Xenopus tropicalis: one gene and its partners. The protein of the gene in region 2 binds, or shares a complex with, the protein of the main gene of each other region. Links are inferred from orthologs where the notes say so. Each region holds a gene or a part of one and is shown on either strand. Other genes may lie near its edges.

Region 1 (4,998 bases), on a different chromosome or scaffold from region 2:
GATCAGGGTGGGGATCAGGGTGGGATCAGGGTGGGGATCAGAGTGGGGATCAGGGTGGGATCAGGGTGGGGATCAGGGTGGGGATCAGGGTGGGGATCAAGGTGGGAAAAGGGTGGGATCAGGGTGGGGATCAGGGTGGGATCAGGGTGGGAAAAGGGTGGGGATCAGGGTGGGGATCAGGGTGGGGATCAGGGTGGGATCAGGGTGGGGATCAAGGTGGGAAAAGGGTGGGATCAGGGTGGGGATCAGGGTGGGGATCAGGGTGGGGATCAAGGTGGGATCAGGGTGGGGATCAGGGTGGGGATCAGGGTGGGATCAGGGTGGGGATCAGGGTGGGATCAGGGTGGGGATCAGGGTGGGGATCAGGGTGGGGATCAGGGTGGGATCAGGGTGGGGATCAAGGTGGGGATCAAGGTGGGAAAAGGGTGGGATCAAGGTGGGGATCAGGGTGGGGATTAAGAAGGAAACAGGGTGGGAAAAGGGTGGGGATCAGGGTGGGAAAAGGGTGGGATCAGGGTGGGGATCAAGGTGGGGATCAAGAAGGAAACAGGGTGGGAAAAGGGTGGGGATCAGGGTGGGGATCAGGGTGGGGATCAAGAAGGAAACAGGGTGGGAAAAGGGTGGGGATCAGGGTGGGAAAAGGGTGGGATCAGGGTGGGGATCAAGGTGGGGATCAAGAAGGAAACAGGGTGGGAAAAGGGTGGGGATCAGGGTGGGAAAAGGGTGGGGATCAGGGTGGGAAAAGGGTGGGGATCAGGGTGGAAAAAGGGTGGGATCAGGGTGGGATCAAGGTGGGGATCAAGGTGGGGATCAAGAAGGAAACAGGGTGGGAAAAGGGTGGGGATCAGGGTGGGAAAATGGTGGGATCAGGGTGGAAAAAGGGTGGGATCAGGGTGGGATCAAGGTGGGGATCAGGGTGGGAAAAGGGTGGGATCAGGGTGAGGATCAAGGTGGGGATCAAGAAGGAAACAGGGTGGGAAAAGGGTGGGGATCAGGGTGGGAAAATGGTGGGATCAGGGTGGGAAAAGGGTGGGGATCAGGGTGGGGATCAAGGTGGGGATCAAGAAGGAAACAGGGTGGGAAAAGGGTGGGGATCACGGTGGGGATCAGTGACCTGTAACTCCGCCCATGTGTTACTAAAAGTAAATATAAAGGGGAAGTTGACCCTTTATTGGGCTATGGGTTCTATAATGAAGTAACTGTGAGTAACATAATTAGGTGAGTAGCAGTGAGACGAGGAAACCGTGGGTGGGAACATCCGGCTCTTGAAGCGAGGGTCTCGCATCTCAGCCCCAATTAATAACGACTGCGCATCACTACTGAGAGACAGCAGCATCGGCCCCCAACTCTCCCACCCTCGCTCCTCTACTGCCCCCCGTGCAGTCATTAGTGCTCATACTGCCTCTTGTGTTTGGAATAACCTCTTCAGTGTTATAAAGGGTTGTCTCCATCTTGCCCTACTGTCTCCATCTTGCCCTACTGTCTCCATCTTGCCCTACTGTCTCCATCTTGCCCTACTGTCCCCATCTTGCCCTACTGTCTCCATCTTGCCCTACTGTCCCCATCTTGCCCTACTGTCCCCATCTTGCCCTACTGTCCCCATCTTGCCCTACTGTCTCCATCTTGCCCTACTGTCCCCATCTTGCCCTACTGTCCCCATCTTGCCCTACTGTCCCCATCTTGCCCTACTGTCTCCATCTTGCCCTACTGTCTCCCTGGGCAGAGGAGCTAGCAATCTAATTTGGCTGCAGGTACACTCTCCATTGAACAGTTCCCAGAAGCCCAGCCAGTCCCAGTTATTTAGTGGCCCTGAATGTTAGGGGGGAAGGCGCTAGGACCCCGCGGCGCACAGGCGGCTCAGGGGGTCACGTGTTGCGGAGGTTTCCAGGGAGTGACGTCACAGGCGTCCTTAGAGCAGCAAGATGGCGCCCAAAGGTAAGCGGGAGGCGAAGCAGCGGATGGAAGAGCGGCCCCCCTGCTCCCTGTAATGGCGCCTGTAAGCGTGGGGCTACTGTGTCCCCTATGCAAGAGGTGCAGCTGATCAGCGGGACTACAACTCCCAGCATCCCCTGCACCCGATGCCGCTACGCTGTCCCCTTACCTGCTGCATAGGGACCCGCACCGCTAGTGTGCAACTACAACTGGGGGGGGGGGGGGGGGGCTGTTAGACCACAATTCCCGGCATCCCCAGAGAAGCAGCGACTTCTCCCTGTTACCCACAATAGCGCACATTCCCCGGGCAGGTGGGTATATTATGGGCAGGTGGGTATATTATGGGCAGGTAAGTGGGTATATTATGGGCAGGTGGGTATATTATGGGCAGGTGGGTATATTACGGGCAGGCGGGTGGGTATATTACGGGCAGGTATGTGGGTATATTACGGGCAGGCGGGTGGGTATATTACGGGCAGGCGGGTGGGTATATTACGGGCAGGCGGGTGGGAATATTACGGGCAGGCGGGTGGGTATATTACGGGCAGGTATGTGGGTATATTACGGCAGGCGGGTGGGTATATTACGGGCAGGCGGGTGGGTATATTACGGGCAGGCGGGTTGGTATATTACGGGCAGGTATGTGGGTATATTACGGGCAGGCGGGTGGGTATATTACGGGCAGGCGGGTGGGTATATTACGGGCAGGTATGTGGGTATATTACGGGCAGGCAGGTGGGTATATTACGGGCAGGCGGGTGGGTATATTACGGGCAGGCGGGTGGGTATATTACGGGCAGGTATGTGGGTATATTACGGGCAGGCGGGTTGGGGTATATTACGGGCAGGCGGGTGGGTATATTACGGGCAGGCGGGTGGGTAATATTACGGGCAGGGGGTGGGAATATTACGGGCAGCGGTGGGTATATTACGGGCAGGCGGGTGGGTATATTGAGGGCAGGCGGGTGGGTATATTACGGGCAGGCGGGTGGGTATATTACGGGCAGGCGGGTGGGTATATTACGGGCAGGTATGTGGGTATATTATGGGCAGGCGGGTGGGTATATTACGGGCAGGCGGGTGGGAATATTACGGGCAGGCGGGTGGGTATATTATGGGCAGGCGGGTGGGTATATTACGGGCAGGCGGGTGGGAATATTACGGGCAGGCGGGTGGGTATATTATGGGCAGGCAGGTGGGTATATTACGGGCAGGTGGGTATATTACGGGCAGGCAGGTGGGTATATTACGGGCAGGCGGGTGGGAATATTACGGGCAGGCGGGTGGGTATATTACGGGCAGGCGGGTGGATATATTACGGGCAGGCGGGTGGGTATATTACGGGCAGGTATGTGGGTATATTATGGGCACCTACAGGGGGAGACCAAACATGGCTGCTCTGAGTGCTGGGAGGGGCCCCCGGCCCCCACTGGGTCTTCTGCTTGGTATCATGTGACTTGTGCTGCCCCCTAACTGTGCGTTTGCTTCCCAGGGAGAAGGCGCGGAGTTGTATCCTTGGCACTTACATAGGTGAGACGGTACCAAGTCACCTGTACAGGTATAGCCTGGCCCCGCCCACTGCTTCTTATATTCCTTTAACAATTCATGGGGGTACATTACCCCTTATAATACATGAGTGATACTCAGAGTTCCCTGTATAACTCAGCCTGCAGCCTTGTGCCTTTATATGGGGGGCACAGAACCCCTCAGTGACTGCTAATATCCTTATCATTTACAGTAGGGGGTACATTATCCCTTATAATACATGAGTGATACTCAGAGTTCCCTGTATAACTCAGCCTGCAGCCTTGTGCCTTTATATGGGGGGCACAGAACCCCTCAGTGACTGCTAATATCCTTATCATTTACAGTAGGGGGTACATTATCCCTTATAATACATGAGTGATACTCAGAGTTCCCTGTATAACTCAGCCTGCAGCCTTGTGCCTTTATATGGGCACAGAACCCCTCAGTGACTGCTAATATCCTTATCATTTACAGTAGGGGGTACATTATCCCTTATAATACATGAGTGATACTCAGAGTTCCCTGTATAACTCAGCCTGCAGCCTTGTGCCTTTATATGGGGGGCACAGAACCCCTCAGTGACTGCTAATATCCTTATCATTTACAGTAGGGGGTACATTATCCCTTATAATACATGAGTGATACTCAGAGTTCCCTGTATAACTCAGCCTGCAGCCTTGTGCCTTTATATGGGGGGCACAGAACCCCTCAGTGACTGCTAATATCCTTATCATTTACAGTAGGGGGTACATTATCCCTTATAATACATGAGTGATACTCAGAGTTCCCTGTATAACTCAGCCTGCAGCCTTGTGCCTTTATATGGGGGGCACAGAACCCCTCAGTGACTGCTAATATCCTTATCATTTACAGTAGGGGGTACAGTATCCCTATAATACATGAGTGATACTCAGAGTTCCCTGTATAACTCAGCCTGCAGCCTTGTGCCTTTATATGGGGGGCACAGAACCCCTCAGTGACTGCTAATATCCTTATCATTTACAGTAGGGGGTACAGTATCCCTTATAATACATGAGTGATACTCAGAGTTCCCTGTATAACTCAGCCTGCAGCCTTGTGCCTTTATATGGGGGGCACAGAACCCCTCAGTGACTGCTAATATCCTTATCATTTACAGTAGGGGGTACAGTATCCCTATAATACATGAGTGATACTCAGAGTGGGATTACATTACTCGGTACATTGTAGCATGAGTCGCATTATACAGTTTTTCCTGAACACAAGCAGCTCTCTTCCACGCCGCTGGAGGTTCTCTTCTTCCTCAATGGCTGGTACTGTGCTTCCTACTTCATCATCGAGACTCTCATTTTTATCTATAAAGGTGAGTTCCTATTGGCTGTGCATGTACCCCAGGGAGGCAGGAACCGCGGGGGGCAACATTGGGGGGACCAAGCTCAGTGTTATTGGCACAAATGGTCCTGCCCAGGGGTGTATGGCTTCTGTCGCACTGAGGGGAGGGGCAGGGAGTCTGTGACTCAAGTAGTGGGTGGGGCTAGAAGGGATTAGCGCAGGGAATGA
Region 2 (4,460 bases):
TTAAGTCTCCCCATATTTCTCCCATAGCCTCATAGGAAAAAAAAATGCTGAGCTCTGTAAAAAAAAAGTTCCCATAATGCCTCGCTCCTGCACCAAGACCAAGACCGGTGTACATGCTCAGTTTGTAAGACTATGAGGAAGCTTCCTGCTGATTGGCTAAGATCACACATTCCTAAGGATGGGGGGGGGGGAGTTTTTAGCATTCTTGAGGGAGGGGGAGCAGGAGAGGGGAGAGGGCTGCGTGTCTCTGGCACAGGAAAACAAAAGAGAAAAGAAATCCTGTTTCTTTTGACAGATAAGATAACTTTCTGTGAGTGCTTATGGCTGTATTTACATAGACCTTTCTGATAAAGCTTACTTAGTTTTTACCTTTCCTTCTCCATTGATAATTCTAAATAGAAATATAAAATATGCAAAATAAAATCTTTAAAAAAAAAAAAAATATATATATATATATATATAAGAGCTTTCAATCTTAAAAGTATTATTCAAAGCACAGGACTGATCCGATTTTATATGCACACACTTATACATTCTATATAGTCACTGCAAAAAAAAACAAGAGAATAAAACACACCTGAACAAAAGAAACTTTAAAACTTTGCTGAACTGTTCCCAGAGTAGCGTTAATTACTCCCAATATGAGGAAAGCATTTACAGCTGTAATTGCTCCTTGTTCTGTGTATAGGATCTGGTAACTCCCCTGAAAGGCAAGCATTAGAATTCAGTTTTATTTGCTCTACTTTCATGTTTATAGTGTATAAAGAATCAGTGACGTCCTGATACACTGTCATAAACCGGAGTAACAAATGCTAAGTGAGCAGCCCCTCTTGTACTGGTTATAGGCTGTATTTTTTGCATGTAAATCTGTATGTTCAATGTATACACCCATTTATTATACAGTACTGCAGAAGGTGTTGGCTCTTTATAAATTTGTGTCAACAATAATCATATAAAGGCTTCTGTATCAGACGTGCTGTCATGAAAAATGCTAATACTTTTAAGGGAAATTATACCGACCAGGTATGAACTGTACAATAAAGATTGTGCTCATAGAGTAAAGAAAGCAGGCTTTTATGTCTTAAAGGAACAGTAACACCAAAAAATGAAAGAGCTTTAAAGTAATAAAAATATAATGCACTGTTGCCCTGCACTGGTAAAACTGGTGTGTTTGCTACAGTAACACTACTATAATTTATATAATAAGCTGCTGTGTAGCCCCGGGGGCAGCCATTCAAGCTGGAAAAAAGGAGAAAAGGCACAGGTTACATAGCAGATAACAGATAAGTTCTGTAGAATACAATAGTGTTTTATCTGCTATGTGCCTGTGCCTTTTATTCTTTGAATGGCTGCCTCCATGGCTACATAGCAGCTTATTTATATAAATTATAGTAGACTTTCTGAAGAAAACACACAACTTTTACCAGCGCAGGGCAGCAGCACGTTATATTTTAGTTACTTTTATACTCTTTCATTTTTTGGTGTTACTGTTTTTTACCTTTACCGTTACCTTTAAAGATTGGCGAATCTGTCCAAAACTTGGAAAAGATTAATGAAACGGCAAAAAATTTGCGAAACTCTGAAATGACGTGCAACAATTTTTTTTTTGACGCGTAGCATTTTCAGCCTTTTGCTAATTCTTCGCCGTTACACTAATCTTTTCCAAAAACAATTTTTCCACAACAATTGTTTGTTGAGCGCACCAAATTTTTTCTTGCCGCATTTTTTCACCCGTCTTGCAAAAAATGCGCCAATGGTGAAACACAGAAATTCACCACAAATCCATGCCTGCCAATTATGTCTACAAGTTAAAAATGTAAGTAACATTTTTTTTGTGACCACTAGAGACCATATAAATGTATGCATTGGGAGAAGGCGCAATATATAAGTTCCCACTCATATTAATAAGCATACATATGTAAAAACAACCAAGATTTTTATGTTTGACTTTCTGCAGATAAATAACTACCAACCTTACAGTTTATAAATACAGCTCCCAGAACAAATTCCAAAAATACATTTAAAAGGAGTCGGCAGTTTACAGCCTAATGCATATTTAGACATCCCAACAGAATGCCCAATGTCATATTATACTTAAATTAAGGTAAATCTGTCATAATTTCTAATTATCCTTTCTCCTTGTGGGAACTAGACTGAAAGCCATTTAGGGTGAGTTTTGGGGAGAAGGCCTCTTTGCTTTAGCAGATACTTCTGGAAGACCAGCTTCACAGTGACAGAGCAATATCTGCTGGGAAACATGTAGAATTCATCATTTTTTGCTCCGAATTGATTATCCAGCATAAAGTTCAGAGTGCAGACAGACCCGGGCAGAAGTGCTGTCTGCATGAGTAGTAAGGGTTGCACTCTTAGTGCTCTTGCACTTCTGCCCGGAACCTTAGTAAATTACCCCCTCTGTCATTTACTGATACTGTGGTATATGACATATCCTGTAAGTAAGTAGGGCTATGCTGGAGATAAAGAATTAAAACTACTTTGTAATAAAAATATTTACTTACCCCCAAAACCACATCTTTACAAAGCTCTGTTGTATTGTCCAAAACAGGAACATAATGATCTATGACACTTGGGATAAAGATCCCATCGAGAGACTTCTTCATTATAGACTGTACTGTTATATTAATCTGCAAATGGTAATTGTGTAAATGTTATATTCTCTCCAAGAAGCAAGCATCATTAAAGGAAAAGTAAAGGTACTAATCACTGGGGGGTGCCATATGTCCCAGTGATTGTAATCTCGTACCTTATACCCCAGACTGGTGCTCCTGTTAGGAGAAAACTGTTTTGTCGATCCTTTTCCTTCTTTATTCTCTCTTTGGAATCCCAGGGCCAGCGCATGTGAAGTAGAGTGAAAAGGCCGGCTTTTTTGTTAAAGTTTATCTTTTCACTCTACTGCACATGCACAAGTAGTGTGAAGAAGGAAGAAGAAGGTATACTCTGGCTGCAATATTGAAGTTTTCTCCCTCTCCAGTTCCAAAAACATGCTTATTCACTGATAAAACAGAATGTTGTGTGTGTGTGACTGTGATAGGGACCTTAGACTGTAAGCTTTAATGGCGCAGTGACTGATGTATGCCTGATGTAAAGTGTTGCAGAAAATATCAGCACTACATAAATCAAGCACAGCAATCACTGCTTCATTAAGGATCAAAGGCTAGCTCATATGCTACAGAAGCACACAGCACCAAAAAGATCTGCACTTATACTGCACAGGAACATAATCAAATCTTTTGTACACAGCAGGATTAGCTGGCTGTTGAGAAATGAAGCCACCTGTGTGACCCAAAAAACCCAGCTTATTGTTGTTATTCTGCTGTCTCCCCCATTCTAGTGTGAACAAACATAAAAACAATGTTTTTTTTGGATTTGTCAGTAGTTGCCATATTGTGGAGATAGCACCTCTAGGCAACCTAGAGCAGTGGCTGGGCGCCCAGCTTGAAGGCCAGTTAGGGTGAGCAGCGCTGTTTAGCAATCAGGCAAGGTGAGAAATGGCACCCCTGTTATGAGAATGAACTTCCATTTTTTAGAAATTCAACTCCTTTAGTTCATCTTTATAAAGAGAATGCAACTGCACTCTGTACTAACAATGCAGCTCCCCCTCAACCCACTAAAGGTGGGTTTAAATCATGAGGGCGCGATTGGTCTGCTCCTGTGGAGTGCCTATTTGCTCTTCTCTCTGCTCTAAGGTATGGCATGTCTGATATCCAAGATCAATGTATTAAACAACTAATGTGAGAGCAAAGCATGCAGACTAGACTCAATTCAGCATATTATGTCAAAAAAATATGCACTCTGCTATATGTATCCCTTGATTCCAAACAACACAGCAGCAGTAGAAATCACCAGTTAGTGTACAATACCGCATTATGTATATGCAAGGTACGGCATGAAAGGTAAAAACATCCAGGAAAGAAATTTATGTAAATTAAAATGATGTATTTTAGGATCTGGGTGAACCACGCTGTTCCCAGGATCTGAAAACCGCACACTTCACTCATGGTGAAAAATGTTCAACTTCTGTGTTTATGTGGCAAAAATTCACATGATTTTAACGATTTGGTTTGGCTGAATCCAGCTGAAAAAGGCAGAATCTTGGCCGAATCCTGGATTCGGTGCATCCCTAGTGTATAAAAGCCTGGGTAACCTTCTCCTCTGTATGGAGACACAACTTTTAACAACTAACATGGGTTATTAGAAGCTATACATGTCCCTTTCATTTATACTAAATAATTAAATTTAAAACAATAATTGTCTCACCTGGTTTCCAGAATTTGGTGTCTGCACAAAAAAAACAAAACAAAATATTTAAATGTAGTATTTTTAAACCTTCAAGAGGTAATATAAAAATTCCACCCTGAGATATAATGAAAGCATGGAGCACAACTGTGGCTCTTATAACATTAAATTAAGAAGCTAAGATTAAGACATTTTAGACTTTACCA
Region 3 (5,024 bases), on a different chromosome or scaffold from region 2:
ATACAGGCTTCCCTGACTCCTATTACTGTATATACAGGCCAGGGACCCTCTCATATAATATATACAGGCTTCCCTGACTCCTATTACTGTATATACAGGCCAGGGACCCTCTCATATAATATATCCAGGCTTCCCTGACTCCTATTACTGTATATACAGGCCGGTAACCCTCTCATATAATATATCCAGGCTTCCCTGACTCCTATTACTGTATATACAGGCCAGGGACCCTCTCATATAATATATACAGGCTTCCCTGACTCCTATTACTGTATATACAGGCCAGGGACCCTCTCATATAATATATACAGGCTTCCCTGACTCCTATTACTGTATATACAGGCCGGTAACCCTCTCATATAATATATACAGGCTTCCCTGACTCCTATTACTGTATATACAGGCCAGGGACCCTCTCATATAATATATCCAGGCTTCCCTGACTCCTATTACTGTATATACAGGCCGGTAACCCTCTCATATAATATATACAGGCTTCCCTGACTCCTATTACTGTAAATACAGGCCAGGGACCCTCTCATATAATATATACAGGCTTCCCTGACCCCTATTACTGTATATACAGGCCGGCAACCCTCTCATATAATATATACAGGCTTCCCTGACTCCTATTACTGTATATACAGGCCAGGGACCCTCTCATATAATATATACAGGCTTCCCTGACTCCTATTACTGTATATACAGGCCGGTAACCCTCTCATATAATATATCCAGGCTTCCCTGACTCCTATTACTGTATATACAGGCCGGCAACCCTCTCTTATAATATATACAGGCTTCCCTGACTCCTATTACTGTATATACAGGCCGGTAACCCTCTCATATAATATATACAGGCTTCCCTGACTCCTATTACTGTATATACAGGCCGGCAACCTTCTCATATAATATATACAGGCTTCCCTGACTCCTATTACTGTATATACAGGCCGGTAACCCTCTCATATAATATATACAGGCTTCCCTGACTCCTATTACTGTATATACAGGCCGGTAACCCTCTCATATAATATATCCAGGCTTCCCTGACTCCTATTACTGTATATACAGGCCGGCAACCCTCTCATATAATATATCCAGGCTTCCCTGACTCCTATTACAGTATATACAGGCCGGCAACCCTCTCATATAATATATACAGGCTTCCCTGACTCCTATTACTGTATATACAGGCGGGTAACCCTCTCATATAATATATACAGGCTTCCCTGACTCCTATTACTGTATATACAGGCCGGCAACCCTCTCATATAATATATCCAGGCTTCCCTGACTCCTATTACTGTATATACAGGCCGGTAACCCTCTCATATAATATATACAGGCTTCCCTGACTCCTATTACTGTATATACATGCCGGCAACCCTCTCATATAATATATACAGGCTTCCCTGACCCCTATTACTGTATATACAGGCCGGCAACCCTCTCATATAATATATACAGGCTTCCCTGACTCCTATTACTGTATATACAGGCCAGGGACCCTCTCATATAATATATACAGGCTTCCCTGACTCCTATTACTGTATATACAGGCCGGTAACCCTCTCATATAATATATACAGGCTTCCCTGACTCCTATTACTGTATATACATGCCGGCAACCCTCTCATATAATATATACAGGCTTCCCTGACCCCTATTACTGTATATACAGGCCGGCAACCCTCTCATATAATATATACAGGCTTCCCTGACTCCTATTACTGTATATACAGGCCAGGGACCCTCTCATATAATATATACAGGCTTCCCTGACTCCTATTACTGTATATACAGGCCGGTAACCCTCTCATATAATATATCCAGGCTTCCCTGACTCCTATTACTGTATATACAGGCCGGCAACCCTCTCATATAATATATACAGGCTTCCCTGACTCCTATTACTGTATATACAGGCCGGTAACCCTCTCATATAATATATACAGGCTTCCCTGACTCCTATTACTGTATATACAGGCCGGCAACCCTCTCATATAATATATACAGGCTTCCCTGACTCCTATTACTGTATATACAGGCCGGTAACCCTCTCATATAATATATACAGGCTTCCCTGACTCCTATTACTGTATATACAGGCCGGTAACCCTCTCATATAATATATACAGGCTTCCCTGACTCCTATTACTGTATATACAGGCCGGTAACCCTCTCATATAATATATCCAGGCTTCCCTGACTCCTATTACTGTATATACAGGCCGGTAACCCTCTCATATAATATATCCAGGCTTCCCTGACTCCTATTACTGTATATACAGGCCGGCAACCCTCTCATATAATATATCCAGGCTTCCCTGACTCCTATTACAGTATATACAGGCCGGCAACCCTCTCATATAATATATACAGGCTTCCCTGACTCCTATTACTGTATATACAGGCGGGTAACCCTCTCATATAATATATACAGGCTTCCCTGACTCCTATTACTGTATATACAGGCCGGCAACCCTCTCATATAATATATACAGGCTTCCCTGACTCCTATTACTGTATATACAGGCCGGTAACCCTCTCATATAATATATACAGGCTTCCCTGACTCCTATTACTGTATATACATGCCGGCAACCCTCTCATATAATATATACAGGCTTCCCTGACCCCTATTACTGTATATACAGGCCGGCAACCCTCTCATATAATATATACAGGCTTCCCTGACTCCTATTACTGTATATACATGCCGGCAACCCTCTCATATAATATATACAGGCTTCCCTGACTCCTATTACTGTATATACATGCCGGCAACCCTCTCATATAATATATACAGGCTTCCCTGACTCCTATTACTGTATATACAGGCCGGCAACCCTCTCATATAATATATACAGGCTTCCCTGACTCCTATTACTGTATATACAGGCCGGCAACCCTCTCATATAATATATACAGACTTTTATAGCTACTTATACTGTATAAATTAACCATTAAATATCTCACATACAAAGTATTCCCCGGGCAGAGACCAGTTAAACCAGTAACTTACTGGAACAAAACCCTTACCCGTTCCAATCTCCGAGCCGAAAACCCGCCGCTTACCGTTGCCTAGCAACCCCTCAGCGTCCTAACCAAAACGCGCAGGATTCAGGAGATTCTGACCATTCACCTACTGAGCCCCGGTCACATGGGGCAGAAGGCAAGTCCGCCATTATTGTAGCTGGAAGTTTTAGCGCTTTGTCGTAAAAGCGACGACACATCCCTGATTATGAAACCTGTCCCAAACTAACATATATATAGATGCAAAGCCTCCACAATGGCGGCTAATCGAAAAGAAGTTACAGTTCGAGCGAAAATATATCAAGCCATAGATGCAGGGGGGAAAATAAAAAGCTGAGTTGGCAGCGGTGGGATTCGAACCCACGCCTCCAGAGAGACTGGAGCCTAAATCCAGCGCCTTAGACCGCTCGGCCACGCTACCTTCTTACTACAGGCCTGATGCACCCTGGGAATATTACTGGGTATAATGACGTCATTATGACTTTACTTCCCACAGTGAGGGAATTAACTGCATGGGAAGTTACACAAGGGATTTATATATCCTCTATACAGGTGGTTTAGGCTCCTGAAACATTGTTTCTTTCCCACCCTCCAGGGGGCGGGGGAAGCAGCACCTCCCTGTGCATACCCCTTGACTATCTGGGCCCACCAGGGTCGGACTGGGCCGCTGGGACACCGGGACAAATCCCGGCGCTCCCCCTGCCCGACCGTTCCTCCCCTGAGGCGTTAAATTTACGGGAGCTCAGGGGAGGACGTCGGGTGGGGGACCCTGTGGGGGGTTGGGGGGGTTAGGGCGGGAGCCCTGGTGTGCCCTGCACCCCCCCCAGTCCGACCCTGGGGCCCACAGATATAGCTATCTTTCACTCCCCAAAATGTGTAGGGCTGTATAACAAACTGCCTAGATCTTCTAATCAGGCATTGGCCCATCTGGAACGCTCTCCAAAGAGTGGCCCCTAAGCCAAATGGATGGAGAGCATACAAGTAAAGGTGGCCATACACGTAGCTGAAGTTCAGGGCTGAATCATCAGATAAGGAGGTAGAAACAATAGAAATTCTACCTCCTTCAGCCCTGAACGTAGATTTTGCTCGGGCGCCTTCAATGGCGCCTTCAACCGATATCCACAGCCTCTGGGATATTGGTCGCCTCTACAAGTCACCATACACGCACCGAATATTGTACGAGATGATAACATCTGTGCGTGTATGGCTGGCTTACGAATGCCTTTCTATTGTTCCGATTACTGATTGATCAGAACAGCAGGAGGGAGAGAGAAGGTGTAGTAAGGTAAACTGATAGATCGATAGAAAGAGATACTGGGGAGAAGCAGATGAAGGTCTCTCAGGGAAGAAGCGTTGGATCAAGGAGATCGTGGGAGAAGCAGATGAAGGTCTCTCTGGGAAGAAGCAGTTGGATCAAGGAGATGGTGGGAAGAAGCAGATGAAGGTCTCTCAGGGAAGAAGCAGTTGGATCAAGGAGATGGTGGGGAGAAGCAGATGAAGGTCTCTCAGGGAAGAAGCAGTTGGATCAAGGAGATGGTAGGAAGAAGGAGATGAAGGTCTCTCAGGGAAGAAGCAGTTGGATCAAGGAGATGGTGGGAAGAAGGAGATCAAGGTCTCTCGGGGAAGAAGCAGTTGGATCAAGGAGATGGTGGGAAGAAGGAGATGAAGGTCTCTCAGGGAAGAAGCAGTTGGATCAAGGAGATGGTGGGAAGAAGGAGATGAAGGTCTCTCAGGGAAGAAGCAGTTGGATCAAGGAGATGGTGGGAAGAAGGAGATGAAGGTCTCTCAGGGAAGAAGCAGTTGGATCAAGGAGATGGTGGGAAGAAGGAGATGAAGGTCTCTCAGGGAAGAAGCAGTTGGATCAAGGAGATGGTGGGGAGAAGCAGATGGAGATCAGATGGCAGATGAAGATCTTCTTCTTGAGGAGGTTTTGATGGAAGAAGATTCTCCTATGAAGCAGTCAGGGGACAGAGTTATAAGGAGGA

Evidence for each region.
Region 1: tctn1 (region 2) and tmem216 share a complex: the UniProt entries of both Homo sapiens proteins name them as parts of the tectonic-like complex. The link is inferred for Xenopus tropicalis from reciprocal best matches to the Homo sapiens genes TCTN1 and TMEM216.
Region 3: tctn1 (region 2) and tmem107 share a complex: the UniProt entries of both Homo sapiens proteins name them as parts of the tectonic-like complex. The link is inferred for Xenopus tropicalis from reciprocal best matches to the Homo sapiens genes TCTN1 and TMEM107.

The regions. Positions count from the first base shown.
Region 1 is NC_030678.2:178,905,368-178,910,365, forward strand, and holds the start of tmem216 (transmembrane protein 216), read left to right. Parts: upstream 1-1,846; 5' UTR 1,847-1,922; coding exon 1,923-1,935; intron 1,936-3,424; coding exon 3,425-3,441; intron 3,442-4,707; coding exon 4,708-4,801; intron 4,802-4,998. UniProt on the Homo sapiens protein: Part of the tectonic-like complex which is required for tissue-specific ciliogenesis and may regulate ciliary membrane composition.
Region 2 is NC_030677.2:162,898,004-162,902,463, reverse strand, and holds part of tctn1 (tectonic-1 precursor), read right to left. Parts: intron 4,297-4,460; coding exon 4,276-4,296; intron 2,643-4,275; coding exon 2,517-2,642; intron 704-2,516; coding exon 578-703; intron 1-577. UniProt on the Homo sapiens protein: Component of the tectonic-like complex, a complex localized at the transition zone of primary cilia and acting as a barrier that prevents diffusion of transmembrane proteins between the cilia and plasma membranes.
Region 3 is NC_030679.2:144,535,550-144,540,573, forward strand, and holds the start of tmem107 (transmembrane protein 107), read right to left. Parts: upstream 3,153-5,024; 5' UTR 3,046-3,152; exon of another isoform or gene 3,029-3,045; intron 1-3,028. UniProt on the Homo sapiens protein: Plays a role in cilia formation and embryonic patterning. Requires for normal Sonic hedgehog (Shh) signaling in the neural tube and acts in combination with GLI2 and GLI3 to pattern ventral and intermediate neuronal cell types.